2 linked regions of the Lonchura striata genome follow. The protein of the gene in region 1 interacts with the protein of each later gene in a pairwise test. Links are inferred from orthologs where the notes say so. Each region holds a gene or a part of one and is shown on either strand. Other genes may lie near its edges.

Region 1 (6,882 bases):
ACACTGTCAGACAGAGACAGTCAGTAAATTAAATGAAAATTTTAAAAAACCAGCCAAACAGCATGCAAGCTACAAAGTAAAAAATGTTGAGCTAGCAACTTTAGACTTAGTATCAGATTTACTACCTCTAATGACAAGCATGCACTCATTACTTTTACAAACCTTAAAGGTACAAATTTGACTCAATCTAGTAATACAATAATACTGATAAAAATAACCTAATAGAGCAACAGCCTCAAAGGGGCAACAAAAGTAAATTTTACAAGAAAATTTTAAGTGACATAGAAACCTACTTTGCCATTTCACAGAACATTTAAACTTGCACATAGTGAGAAAATGCAACTGTGACACTGAAAATATTAATTAGCTTTTTAAATGTCATTAATGCAGTTCCACATGCCAAGCATTACACATTCATCTCTCCATGTTTTGGAAAGGATCATTATAAACTGGGTAGAGCTCTTTCTTATTAATAGTGTGCTTATGTAAACTGAAGCAAACCAGATCTTTCATGTATAATGCTGATCCTCAGCAAAGCAAAAGCACCAGCTTCTGAGGCTGGAAAGTCCTGGATAAGCATCTTGAGCCTGAGGAGGTCTTCCACCATCACAGACACACCAAGAGGCTGCTGTTGACAGAAAGTCCTGCCCTTCCCCATAACCATGATCCTCACACATACAGCTGCCAAGAACCTACTGCACCAGTCAGCTCTGGGAAATTATATTACTAAGCACTAATATAATGAGGCAGCAGGCTGAGCCAGATTTCAGAAGCTGTCCATACTTCTATGTCAGATGGGTATGACTGTGCAATTGCACATCCAAACATAAATTTAATCAAAGATGGCAACCAGCAACACTCTTCTGAGTTGCCAATGAAGCAATAATATGAATAAAAGCATGATACCAAATAATTTTTTATTATTATTATTATTATTGGCTTTGCCTACATTTTTTTCTGTCCTAGGGTGACCTTTCTACAAAAACTTAATCTGAGCCTAAGCTAATATTCATGAACAGAGACAGCCTAAACTGAAAAACTGTAAATAAAAGCAAATGCACTTGCTTCAAATGTTTTGAAGCAGAAAAGTATTTTATATTGTGGTGGCTTTTAAAAAATAAAAACATGACCCATAAAAATGCAGAAAATTGTTCTTCAGTTTCAAAAACTTCTGCATTCAAGGACGGTGGATAATAGTGTGACATAATGAGTGTTCACAAGGCAAGGACAGCTGGAGTTTTAGACATAACTTATTTCCTGTGCTATTCTGAAATTAATCTCAAGCATGCAGAATAATAACTTCACATAATGGAAAAAATGCTTTGACAAGCTCTAGCTTTTGAAAGTACTTTCAAGAAAAGGTTCAGTAAAACATGAGATTTCACCTGTGATCTAGCAGTTCCCTCCATTCCCAATACCTTCTGAAATACAAACAAGATATAAATAATTTCCAACAAAGTCAGGAACTGGACAAGTTTAATGAAAACATCACAAGTTTTTTCAAAATTCTGCTGTTATCTGTAGATACTTTTCTCCTACCCCCTGTAATTAAAGTGCTAGAGCTTACATAAGACAAGCAAGTATAAAGTGCCTTGGTAAATTAGCATACAGCCAAATCAATTGATAGATGTGCTGCAGATGATCTACAGTCTCTAATGCAGTCGAATTCACAGTCAAAATTAAGGGAAACTCTCCCCTTTTGGAGAGGTAACATACCATTGTCCTGAGAGCTGGAATGCCTGATAAGGTATTATTTGATAAACACTGGACACCATGTTTCAAATTTCAAAGGCATTAACAGTCAGCAAAGAATGCCAAGTGAATCAAAGAAAGCTCTTGGGATTTTAATGCCAAGTTATGTTCAAATTTAGAGTCTTGATGAAGTCATTAGGCTGAGGAACAGGATCTGATTACTGTAAAATCTACTAAAGACAGAACATAGGTATTCTGTGAAAATTACTTTAGTTCTCCAACTGTTCTAAAAGGGATAAAGAACAAAGGCTAGTTTGTGCTTACTCCTATTTAAGTTACCTCTAGAGAAGTAGAGCATGGAAGAATTAATGACTGTGTTGTATAGTTTTTCAAAGCAGGTATTTTTTAAAGTAGTATGGTTAAAGCAGCTTGCAAAATGCAGTAATGACAGGCCTACAAAAATGCTCAGATTGCAAGCTATAATTTCATTAATTCCAAGTTGATATCTATGCTATGACGGATAACATCACTGATAAAGATGATGTTATAATTTCAGAGAGTAAGAACGTTTCCATTAATTCAACCCGCAAAGGATAAAGTTGAAAATACCCTGTCAGCAAATTCATACCTAGTTTTCTTCACCGCACTGAACATTTCCCTAGCAAGATAAGCGGATCTTAACACCCACCTTGGCCATCTGTTAGCAAAAAAGAAGAAGGGCTCCTGGCAGAGATGCCCGCACACTGCGCCGCACCCAGCCCGCAGGGCCCGGCAGCGGGCTCGGAGCGCGGCCGCCGCAGGGAGGGGCCGGCGGGGCGGGCGCGGGAGCGGAGCAGCGCCCGAGACAAAGCGCGGGGAGCGCGGGGAGCGCGGGGAGCGCGGGGAGCGCGGGGAGCGCGGGGAGCGCGGGGAGCGCGGGGAGCGCGGCCCCGCCGCCGCCGCCTTTGTCCGCAGCCCCCACCCCAGCCCCGCAGCGCCGCCGGCCGCGGGGGCTCCGCGAATGGGCAAGGCGGTGCCCGGGCCCCGTTGCCACCGCCCCGCCGCCCGAACACGCCTCAGCCGCAACACAAATGACCCGCCTGGCCCCGGGCGCCCGCCGGCCGCCTCGGCCCCGCCGCTGCCGCTCACCTTCCAGCCCCTCCATGGCGCGCCCCGACCGCCGGCTCGGGCTGGGCTCGGCTTCCGAGCTGGGCTCGGCTTCCGAGCGCCGCTGCTGTGGCAACGCCGCCACCGCCCGGCCCGCCAACAACCGCCGCTCCCATTGGTCGGGCGGGCTCTGCCCCGGCACCGCCGCCCCGCCCGCCCGGAGCGGGCGCACGCCGCGCTCCGCCGGACCCGGGCCGTGCCCCAGCCCGGAGCGGGCGCACACCGCGCTCCGCCGGGCCGGGCCGTGCCCCAGCCCGGAGCGGGCGCACACCGCGCTCCGCCGGGCCGGGCCGTGCCCCCGCCCGGAGCGGGCGCACACCGCGCTCCGCCGGGCCGGGCCGTGCCCCCGCCCGCCCGGAGCGGGCGCACGCCGCGCTCCGCCGGGCCGGGCCGTGCCCCCGCCCGCCCGGAGCGGGCGCACGCCGCGCTCCGCCGGGCCGGGCCGTGCCCCCGCCCGGAGCGGAGCGCGGTGCCGGGCCCCGGCCGTGCCCCCGCCCTTAGGCTGCGCCTGGGTTCCCAAGGGAGCAGGGCTCCGGGTCTGGGCATCTCCCTGCAAAAACCTGGCGTATTCTGACTCAGGTGCGATCTGACGGGTCCTGAAGCCCATACGTTTAGGTTGTGCTGAGATCAGGGATCTCCTTCAAAGAGAAGCGCCTTTACGTGAAATACAGGATCACAGAATCGTTAGGGTTGGAAGGAACCCCTGGGGATCATCCAGTCCAAACCCCTGCCGAAGCAGGATCACCTAAAGAAGGTGATACAGGAACGAGTCCAGGTGGTTTTTAAGATCTCCTGAGAGGGAGACTCCACGACCCTCCTTGAATATGAAGACCAAAGCGAAGCACATAAGGAGAAATGATCGTGCAGCCGACAAAGCGTCCAGCGCTTCTGGATGGATATGGGCAGCAACTCGGATGGTGCCGGGGACCCTCCACCCTCAGCACCCAGTAGCTGAACCCAGTGTTGATGTGTGGCCTTATTGGGTATCCCTTTGCTGATGAGAAAGCTAGGATGACTACAGGAAGTACACAAAAAAAAAAAAAAAACTTTTCAGGTTCAAGTCCTGAAAATAAAATAATTGCAGACAATGCAACACCCCACCCCTTGCCCCCCCCCCCCCCCCCCCCCGTTATTTTCTTAACTGAAAGAGTTGCTAATAAAAGATTAGTATCTTGATGGAATCTCCTGCCACAGGATAACATTTGAGTATGGATGTTTTTAGAAAATACTGCTATTAAATTGCTGTTGGCTACTGAATATAAAAAATGCTTGATACATACAGAAATTCTTCTGATCCTTTCAGAAGAGGTCTCCACATTTTTAGCAACCAAAGCATTTCAATATTTCTTTCTTCAAGGTATTATTTTATAATTACTTCTTAAGATCTTTTATTTGTCTTTCTTGTGGCAATATGCCATGAACAACTAATAAAGTTTTTCTAAAGTACAATAAATCTTACAGAAATAATAGCTGTCTTTACAGGCACATGCAAATAATTTGTCTTCTTATGCTAGACAAGTTGGTTGATACAGATTCACTTGTCCATAGAATTACAGTTACTGTCCTTATCACAGCACATCTGTGAATGCAAAACAAAGAAACAAATACATAAAAACGACATTAAATTAGAGATTATGGTCATGTTGTCATCTCTGCATCCCCATGACACAGAACAAATAGACCCAGATGCTGCATACCAAACAGCCAGCATATAAATCATGACTAATATATGATTAACATCATCATTTGAGACCAAAAGCTTGCGTATATATGATAATTCCTGCTGCAATTTTTTCTAGTTAATTTAGTAAAAGTACATTTCAGATTTGCCTTTGGTCTCTAGAGTTTATGCTTATAAAATTACAGGCCATGCCAGAAGTAACTAGATTGCCACCAAGTTGCAAAGTTCTAAACTTTGCAAATGATCCTTTAAATCTCTGACACGGAACTTAAATAAGCCTATACCTAGCAAACATTTAATGATAAACTTACCATTAGGACAGTTTACCAGAAGTGCACTTCCTTTCATAACATTCCTATGTGTGGATTGCAATTCAAAACTAGAGGAGAAAATGTTCTCAGTTTAGTGAAGGGCTTCCTATTAGAGGTGCATTTTGTTTGGTTTTGTTTATTGTTTCTCTTTGAAATGTTGGGTTATTTTTGTTAAAAACAGGGACATTTATATAACAGGGGTGTAATTACTACTTCACCTACCTTTAAAGTATCTACAGTGTGGTGTTCACATCTGAGGTGTCAACTTCTCCAACACAGTCTATAGATTTGCCTCTGTCCTTGATATGGTCTATGGGCATCTTGAGCCTGAGGAGGTCTTCCACCAGAGGCTGCTGTTGACCAATGCTGCTTGGCCAAATGTATCATCTGTTCCAAGCTAAGAGACAAGTGAATCATCAGTACCTGCCTCAGAGTAGGATTCTGCTGCAAAACTAAAAGGTTCTTTTGGCTCTTGTGGCTGGTGTCTGCACAGGGTGTTGTACAACTATAACTGTGGACAGCACACTTTAAAGGACTCCTGGTGCTGAAAAAGAGCTGTCTTTTAACTGTGGTGTCTGTGTGGGGAACAGGGGACGAGGCTTCTGTGGTCATAGCCACTGTGCTACATGAATGCCTTCACAAATTTATCTTCATACTGAAAAAAACCCCAACTCCGTGTTTTCCTTCTGTAGACTTACTGTGCCAAACTCAAGTCTTTGATGCAATGACATTCCCTATAAAATTTAGGATTTTTTTTTTCCAAACAATATGCTAAATTTATTAATTGCTAGTTAGCATCATGTATACTTGTGCCAACATTTATTTTTGGCTTATGTATTTTATTTTTTATCTCTTTTATGCATTTATAGGGAATTAGCATCCGTTATGCTTCAGTATTTGGTTTGTTAACCTAAACAAAATAGAGATCTTCAGTACTGTCTTCAGAAGCTCTGCTTTCCATTTCTGTAGCCATCATGGTACCCTTTATTGGGACAATTCCATGTTAGCTCATATTTTATATGTGGTCAAAATCTTAAACTGTCCCAGAGAAGTAATCTTACTGCACCACTAAGACTTCTTTGCCTCTGCTGGGAATATTTCTATGAATACATCTTAGGTTACATTTGCTATGCTATGGTAAGCCTGTAGGCACCAGTATATATTTAGCGCCTCTTCCATATTGGTTGTTTTGTGGAGTCATCAGTGATGATAGAAATTTTTGCCTCTAAAAAGTAATGCAGCCTGAACACCTACTGTTCTGAGTGTTCAGAATCCTGAGTGTCTCTGAGAAGGATCAGGAAAATACAGCCCTAAATGCAAAAGCTATATCGTCCTTACTCAAACTTATTTCAAAGAATTGAAATACAAACACTAGCACAGCCATGCTTACCTGTGCCCAAACTCCAGAAAGAGCTCCAAAGAAGAGAGGTAAAAGTCAATCTGAGGTATACTCAGACATTAAGCAGGTGTGCAGAGAGGCCACCTAACATTGACACAGTTTCCAAAGAAACTCAGGTGTCCTGTTGGCCAATAAAGGGACAGTTTTTCATTTTTCGTTAGTAAAAAAAGGAGTCTGCCCACAGGGATAAGTTGCAAAAGATAAATGAAGAGTTTGTGATATACTAGAAAACCCATTTTCTCTATGGTTTGTGGGCAGAGATAAAAGTTACAGGTTAGCCTAGATTGTTGGTTGCATAAGTCAGAATTTTCATGGGCCTAAAGACATGGAATCGTGGTCTAAGTTTTGAAATTGTCCTGAAATTCAAAATTTAGGGAAGCAGTGGCACCAAATCTTTCTGCCAGAATCTGTCAAGATCTCTTGCAGAAGAACTGGAGGACTGTCCTCATAGGTCCCTGGCATACTACTGAGATATAAAGTTGTCTTTTTCTTGTTTGTGACTGGCAGATGTTTATGGCTGGCATAGCCTGACTAGCAACAATAAACTCGACTCACTTCCTATGTGTAAGCCCTGTTTGTCATGTAACCACTCTTGTGTGAGAGATACCTGGAAAGGTAAAGGATATATTTGGTAAAATGCAATGCAAAAAAGC
Region 2 (7,753 bases), on another chromosome or scaffold:
CACTCGCCACTCTCCTCCTTGTAGATGTCGAACTCCCCGGCCAGCGTGTGGATCACCACGGGCAGGTCCCGCTCCCGCACCTGCCCCGGGGCGCGGGGTCAGGGCTGCACTGCCACCCCTCCCCCTGGACAGCCAGCCAGGGCCACCGTGCCCGTCACCCACCAGGATGAAGTCGGTCTGGTACGTGGAGAGCATCAGCACCGAGACGTGGTGCTCGGCCAGCGGCGCGATGACCGACCGCGCGATCTTGGTGACGCCGGTGGCCTGGCAGCCGGGGGGCTCCCGCCCGTTGGAGACCACGCTGAGCGCCAGCCACGTGGAATCTGCCACCTGCAGGAACTCCGAGGGCGGCAGCTCTGCGAGGGACCGGGGACACTGAGGCACAGCCCGACACAGAGCCAGTGCCAGCTCAGGCACTGCGTGCCACGCTGTCCCATGGGTGATCCCCAAGGCAGGATCAGCCCCAGGTGTGGGGACACTGGTTTGGGGGTGCAGTTGAGCCCCATCCTCAGTGGAAAGAACCAGACAGGGCTCAGCTGCTCCACACTGGGATTTGGCCGTAGGGACGAGGGGGGCCAAAGCTACAGGCCCCCAAACCCCAAGATGTGTCTCTCCTCCCTGTGCCAGCACCGCAGGCTGGGTGTATGGGGATGTTGGCATTTCACCCCCAAACCAGCATCACCAGGGCCGTGGGGCTGCCCAGCTCATCCTCTGCCCCCCAGGAGCCTCCAGCCCAGCGCCCACCACCAGGGATGTTCAGGGATGCACACAGGACATTGGAGGGGACAAGGAGAGGGTCATCCTGCTGTCCTGGGAGTCCCAGCACCTAGTGTCAGCCTGGTGGAGAGAGCCCAGGCTGCCAGAGGGCCACAGCTGCTTCCCAAAAATCTGCTGGTGTTGGCAGGGTGGGCATAGACCAGCTGCTCCTGCCTCCCACCCTCCTGCCCAGGAGAGGGGCTGGCACTGCTGGGGCACCCAGGGCTCAGTCAGGCTGCTCCCTCTTCTCTGGGCTCCCCTTCCCATCAAGGGACGGGCCAGGGCCCCAAGGAGTCTCCAGTCCACTCCTCCTATCCAGGAAAGGTGGGAGCAGCTCCCATGGGAGACCACACAAGCCCCCAGCCCTTGGGTGGGCAGCCAGTGCCCAAGCCCAGCTGAGACCCCAGACTCACCACGCCAGTGGTGGAGGGGAGGCTGCACGGGGGAGGGTCCAGCCCTCACTGAGGGGCCCCCATCCGGGGACAGGCTCTGTACTCCGCTCCCAAACTGGGCCGGGGCAGGGCGGGAGCGGGGCCGGATCCGGAGCCTTGGCGGCTGTTCCCAGCGCCTGTTCCTGCGCAGGAAGCGCCAGAACAGCCTCGGCTCCAGCCCAGGGCCCAGTGCTGGGAACAGCGGGGCGGGACAGGGACTCAGGGACATGGGGACCTGTCCCAGAGCTCAGTGTTTAATCGCTTTTCAACACCACCCTGGGCGAGGCTGAATGCAAGGGGGCCTCGCTGTCCCTATGTCACCCACCCCAGGGCTTAATCCTGATCCCAAGGGAAGAGGGGGTGCAGCTCTCCTGTGCTGGGGGTCCCCTTCCAGCCCGGCAGCAGGGGGACACTGGCAGCCCGCAGCCAAGGGGGGTTCACGGGGCACTGCGGGGCCGCAGGCTTGCAGGACCATTGTTCAGCACTTCCCGCCCTCCCCTCGGGATTGAGGAATATTTGTCTGCATGCCCCAAAATACAACAATACGTGGGGAACGGCTCTGGCTCTGGGAGCGGGGAGAGCCCGGGACACGGTCCCGCTCCACAGCACACGGAGGTGAGCCTGGCACCTGGCCGCGAGTGCCCGTGGCCGGAGCGCTGACCTTGTCCCTGGGTCACGGCCAAGGACCCGCGGCGGCCCCGGCAGGAAGGTTTGGGCGTGGGAAGGCGGGCGGGATCCGGACCCTCTGGCTCAGCCCGTCGGGCCGGTGGCCCGGCAGGGCTGGCGGTGAGGGTGACACACCGCACGTGCCGGGCCATGTGGGGACGTCACCAAGTGGCACCTCCCCGGGAGAGGGACTGGCTTGGAAGGGATCCAACCTCACCCCAAAAGCTGGACCCTGCTGCCGGACAGGACTCACCCCTGCCAGCCTGGCCGCGCCTGTGCTTTGCCCTGCTCTGCCAAAGCTGCAGCTGGCCCTCACCGGGAGCAGGGGCGGGATGAAACTGGACACGGGAACGATGACAGGCTGCCAGAGCCGGGAGCGCCGCCCGCGGGCATCCCGGGAGGAGCCTGCGCCCTGCCGGAGCGCCCGGGCTCCGGGCCGGCACCGCAGCCCGGTGGCAGCGCTGCCCGGGAGGGGCTGGCGGAGCAGGGCAGCCACGCCGGGAGAGCCCCGGCCGGGCAAGCCGGCACATCCCCGGCACAGGCGCCTGGGGCAGGACGGGCACGCTCCGAGGGAGCCAAGCACAAGCCGGGACTCGCTCCCCGCGGCCCAGGCGCAGAGCCGGGCTGGGGACGCGCACAGCCCGCGCCGGCGGTGCCAGCCCGCCCTGCCAGGGACCCACCACTCGGTACCTTTGAAGCCCTCCTCGTCCAGCATGACCGTGTAGTCCTCGGGGGTCTCCGTCAGGCTGAAGAACTTGCATCTGAAGCAGAAGAAATCGGTGCTGCTGACCTCAAAACCGCCGCCGTCTCCCGGGGCCGGGAGTCGGGGAAAGAAGAGCAGGAAGAGGAGGAGGAGGGTGGTGGCGGGGGGAGGACAGCCGGTACCGGCAGCGCTGGGGCAGGAAGAGCAGCTTGAGCAGCGGGTGGGTGTAGAGCCAGAGCCCGCGGCGGGCCAGGCTCAGCACCCGCACCCGGTGCTCCAGGATGTGCAGGTCCATGGCGGCCGCGCCGCCCCGGGAAGCGCCGCCGCCGCCACTATAAGGGCGGACACGGGACCGCCCCGGGACCGGCCCGGGACCGCCCCGCATCGCCCCGGAACCGCCCCGCCTCGGTTCGGCAACGCCCTGTGACCGCCCTCACCGCCCGGGGACCCATCCGGGAACGCTCCGCTTCTCTCTGGGACCGCCCTGTGACCGCCCGCCTGGCGCCAGGACCGCCCCCATCGCTTCGGGACGCGACCCGGCACCGCCCCGCACCGCCCCGCACCGCCAGAAAGGCAACGACCCGGGCCACCGGGATGCCCGCACTGGACACCCGGGATAGCCCCACCGGAGCCTCGGAACCAGCCCCAGTGCAGAACTCCGTGGTGCCCAAACCAGCCCAAATTCAGCGCCCCAGGATGCCTGGAGCAGCTCCAACTCAGAGTCCCAGAGTACCCCCGAAATGCAGCCCTGGGGGCCCAAACCACCTTCAATTCAACAGCCCGGCATGCCCAACCAAGGGAGACCCTCTGGGAGCCACTGCCAACCCCACTCTACCCCCAGCCACAGCACCCAACCGGGTCCCACATGCTCAGCCCCAACGCCAGGTCTGGAGAGGGGATTCACCAAACCAGGTCCACCCTGGGAAAAAGGGGTTTGTGGAGGGAGGAATGGAGGTTTGGGCAGAATTCTTGCCTGCAGGAAGAAAGAGAGAGATGGCCTGGGCACTATTTTGGGATGGGAAGCTGAGCTCTGGGGTGTCATGGGATTAGTTTGGGGTCCCCTGGCTCTGTTCAGCCACAGGAGCTGTGACAGTGGGAAAAGGGGAAAGGCCTGGGTGCTGGGGTGGGAGTGCACCAGAGCCTGGCAGCCACCACTCTCACAAGCTGGGGCAGGTCTCAGTCTCCTCCCATTCCACTTCAAAGGGGCAGCCACAAGGCTGGTGAGACAGCAGGGCTGGGCCATCTTCTGCGGTGACAGAGCAGTGACAGCAGCGTGGCCCTTCCCAGGTCACTGCCCAGCACCTGCCCCCAGGACAAGGGCAGCCAGGAGAGAAGGGACCCAGGGAAGGGTGCATGCCAGGGTCAGTGTCCAGTGCGAATGGGATGCAGGGGAGGGTGCCCCCAGGGATAGAGAACCATGGGCAGGGTCCAGGTCAGGGTACCCCCAAAGCTGGTACTGGTGCAGCAAAGGGGAGGTGACACCCTTGCCTCCTGCCACCCTCCAGCCCCATCCCAGGCCAAGAGAGGTGGGAGCCGGGGCTGCGCCTTTACACACTCGCTTTATTGACCCCTTTGTACAAAACTGCTTTTCCCGCTTTATTTTACAAACCCACCACCCACCCTCGGGGAGGGCGGGGGGGGCAGAGGGGACCCCACAACCAGGGGGCACCTGGCTGCTGCTCACCCACCCCGTCTCACCTGCGCTGGGGCCTGGGGGGGGGTGGCAGTGGTGGGGTGAGCCCTGGCAGGGTAAACACTCCCCCTGAGCTGTGGGGAACTTGGGGATGGGAGGGGATGGGATGGGGGGCCTTCAGCCCCAAAACTCGGCAACAAATCCCGCCGCCTCTAGCACATCCTGCCTCGGTCCCTGTCCTGCCTCAGAGGAATAATAAATAGGCTCAGTGAGTAGGTAAGTTGGGTACTACATATAGGGCTACAGCTTGATATATCCTCACTAGATAAGAGGGGGGCGAGGGGTCCCAGGGCTCCTCGTGTACCCCCAGTGCCCTGCGCCAGGCCTAAGTGCTCAGGAACTGGGGCTGGGGCTGCCCGGCTGGCGCAGGGTGGGGGCTACAGGAGGGACCCGGGGGGTGATGGGTCGAGGGGCTCTGGGACGGGGAGAGGGGCCCAAGGGGCAGCCCAGCCCCCCAGCGTGGGGAGGGAGCTCGGGTGGCTCAGCCACCCCCTGCCCGGGCTCCCACCGCTCGTGGTGCCAGCACCCTGCGGGGTGGGCACCCAGCGCAGACCCACGGTGTCCCCTTTGGTCACCACACCTGGCCAAGCTCCACGGATGCCCCGAGAGGGCCACGCTGTTCTCCCGGAGCCGCACAGCCCCCCTGTCCCATCCCTCCAGCTCAGAGCCCCCAGCGCCGGGTGCCAGGGGTCCCCCTGGGTGTCCTCGCGCCCGGGTCCGTGCGCAGCCCCGCTGAGCCCGGCTGCCCGGGGTGTGGGCCGGGCCCTACAAGTACGTGTCCTCGCTCTCCCGGGAGCTCAGGCTCTCCTTGGACTGGTGGTGGGGGGAGACCTGCGGGTGCAGCAGCTCCCGGGTCGTGCCGGGCGCCCCGTTGCCCTCGGCCCCGGGGCCGTTGGCAGGACTGGCCGGGCCCTTTTCCCGGCTCTTCTCCTTGCTCTTGCGGGCCTTGGGCACGGGGGCCGGCCCGGGGGAAACGATGATGGAGGGGACGGGCTCCAGAGCCTTGCGCGGCGCGGGCTCCGCCTCGCTGATGGCCTTGGCGCCGTGCAGGCGCGGGGGGGACTTGCACTGCAGCTCTCCGTGCGTCTCCCGCCACTTCTTCAGCTGGATCAGGTGCTCCCGCTCGATCTGACGCTCCGTCACCGGCAGCTCGATGACCTGTGGGGACACTTGCTCCATCAGCGACAGTGCCACCGGGGCTGGGTGTGGGATCCCCCTCAGGGCACTGCTAAGGAAGCTTTTTGGGGGCTGCTTCCCATGCTCCGCCCACCCAGGGACAGCCCAGTCTGGCAGCACTGGGCCCCCAGGCCGTCCCCAGCACCTCACCTCCTGCACCAGGAAGGCCTCCTGCATGATTTTGGGGCTGAGGGCCCTCAGCCTCTCCATGGTCTCATACTGGCCCTGGCAGGATTTGAGCTTGTCCGAGGAGCCCAGGGTGTGTTTGAGTAGCACCAGGCCCACCCGGAAGATGATCTTCACTCCTGCAAGAGGAGACGAGACGCAGTGAGTACCAGGTAGGACAGGGTGACACTGCCACCGTGTCCCTCAAATGCTGTGGGACAGCACATCCCAGTCCCACTAACGGTCAGGACATGCAAGAGGGTGAATTTGGAATGCACATGCCTCCTAACCCCCAGGAAAACTGCCCACTTCCACTGGTGGCTGTGGCTGCCCCAAACCTGCCCTGCTACAGGTCCCATGGCCGTGGGGAGTGCAGTCACCCCGTGAGGAGGAGGAGGATGGTGGGGAGCTCCTACCTTCACAGAAGAACATGTCCCAGACGCGCAGGACGGAGCTCCAGGGCAGCGTGCGGGAGAAGGCGCACATGAACCACTCCGTCATGTACAGGATGGGGTCGATCTTCTGCTTGCTCAGGTGCTTGTAGGCCACAGGGGAGACCTTGTGCAGCAGTGAGAAGAGGATCTGTCCGTCCAGCTGGATGGCCTCCTGCAGGGACAGGGACCAGCATCCCAGTGAATACCCCAGCCCTGGGATCAGCCCCCAGGGCCAGGTCCCAGCAAGGGCAGCCAACCCTCTACACCTGATGTGAGCAGAGCTGTGTCCCACGGATGCTACACTGAGACCCCCATCCCTGAATGCTTCTGGGAGCCACATCACAACAGGGAGACTGTGGGAATACCCAGCCCCTCCTCAGACCCCTTCTTTCCCCAGGGTGAGGAGCTGGACAAGTCTTTGGCCTGGAGATTCAGAATTGTGGAATGGTTTGGGTTGGAAGGGACCTTAAAACTCATCTCATTCCATCCAAATGCCCTGTGGTAGCTTCCACTATCCCAGGTTGCTCCAAGCCCTGTTTAACCTGGCCTGGAACTCTTCCAGGGATAGGGTGGCCACAGCTGCTCTGGGCACCCTGTGCCAGGGCCTGCCCACCCTCCCAGGGAGGAATTTATTCCCATCCATCCCTGCCCTCTGGCAGTAGGAAGCCATTCCCTGTGTCCTGTCCCTCCATCCCTTGTCCCCAGTCCCTCTCCAGCTCTCCTGGAGCCCCTTTAGGCCCTGCAAGGGCTCTGAGCTCTCCCTGGAGCCTTCTCCTCTCCAGGTGAGCACCCCCAGCTCTCCCAGCCTGGCTCCAGAGCAGAGGACCTCCAGCCCTCAGAGCAGCTCCATGGATTCCTCTGGAACTCTCTCCAGCAGCTCCAGGTCTTTCCTGTTCTGGGCCCCAGGGCTGGGGCAGCTCTGCAGGTGGGGCCTCACCTGGGCAGGGCAGAGAGGCAGAATCCTCCCTCCCCTGCTGCCCACACTGGGGGTTCAGCCCAGGACACATGGCCAGGGTGTGGTCAACCCTCACCAACCAGCACTCCTGTGTCCTTCTCCCCAAGGCTGCTCCTGATCCCTTCATCCCCAGCCCAGACTGATGCTAGGGGCTGCCCCAACCCAGATGCAGCACCCTGCAGGTCCCTGCCACTGCTGAAAGCACCATGAGCTCTTTACTTACCAGTTTCTCGCTGTAGTAGCCAGGGAGGTACTTCTCACAGATCTGCACCAAGCACCAGAACGCTTGCTGCAAGCCAAGGACAGCAGGTGAGCACTCAGAGGACATCCCTGTGGCCCACTCCCTGCTCCCAGGAACCACGGGAGAGGGTGGCAAGCAGCAGAGCACCCCTGGAGCCCTTTGGGTTGCCCTGAGCCGGGCACCCCACTCATCAGCACCCCCCAAAGGGCCCCACAACGCTCCAGGAGGTGCCAGCTGTCCCCTGAGCCACGTGCCCGTACCTCGGCCGGCATGTGCATGAGCAGGACGGCGGCGATGGGCGCCTGGGCCTGGCAGTACCCCTCCTCCGGGCGGTACAGCGTGTACGCCTTCAGCACCCGGAACAGGTCCTGCTGCCTGCAGAGACACCCGGGCACGCACAGCTGGGCACACGGCACGCACGTGGCCCAGCAGCCTTCCCCGTGCACGCCAGGCTCGAGCCTGGGTCACTCCCTGGCTGGGATCCCTTTTCCACACAAAGCCGGGCCAACAGCTCTGGGGCTCGGCCCACAGAG

The links. The genes of interacting proteins can lie anywhere in the genome.
Region 2: the proteins of ZC2HC1A (region 1) and CASTOR1 interact in binary tests that used the Homo sapiens proteins (3 or more experiments, as listed by UniProt). The two-hybrid records come from large-scale screens. The link is inferred for Lonchura striata from reciprocal best matches to the Homo sapiens genes ZC2HC1A and CASTOR1.

The regions. Positions count from the first base shown.
Region 1 is NC_134603.1:29,971,509-29,978,390, forward strand, and holds the start of ZC2HC1A (zinc finger C2HC domain-containing protein 1A), read right to left. Parts: upstream 3,006-6,882; 5' UTR 2,837-3,005; coding exon 2,821-2,836; intron 1-2,820.
Region 2 is NC_134620.1:2,664,581-2,672,333, reverse strand, and holds the start of CASTOR1 (cytosolic arginine sensor for mTORC1 subunit 1), read right to left. Parts: upstream 3,011-7,753; 5' UTR 2,942-3,010; coding exon 2,739-2,941; intron 2,615-2,738; coding exon 2,544-2,614; intron 357-2,543; coding exon 163-356; intron 81-162; coding exon 1-80. Other genes in the region: TBC1D10A (TBC1 domain family member 10A), read right to left, coding at 5,015-5,407, 5,576-5,730, 6,007-6,196, 7,203-7,268, 7,481-7,595. UniProt on the Homo sapiens protein: Functions as an intracellular arginine sensor within the amino acid-sensing branch of the TORC1 signaling pathway. As a homodimer or a heterodimer with CASTOR2, binds and inhibits the GATOR subcomplex GATOR2 and thereby mTORC1.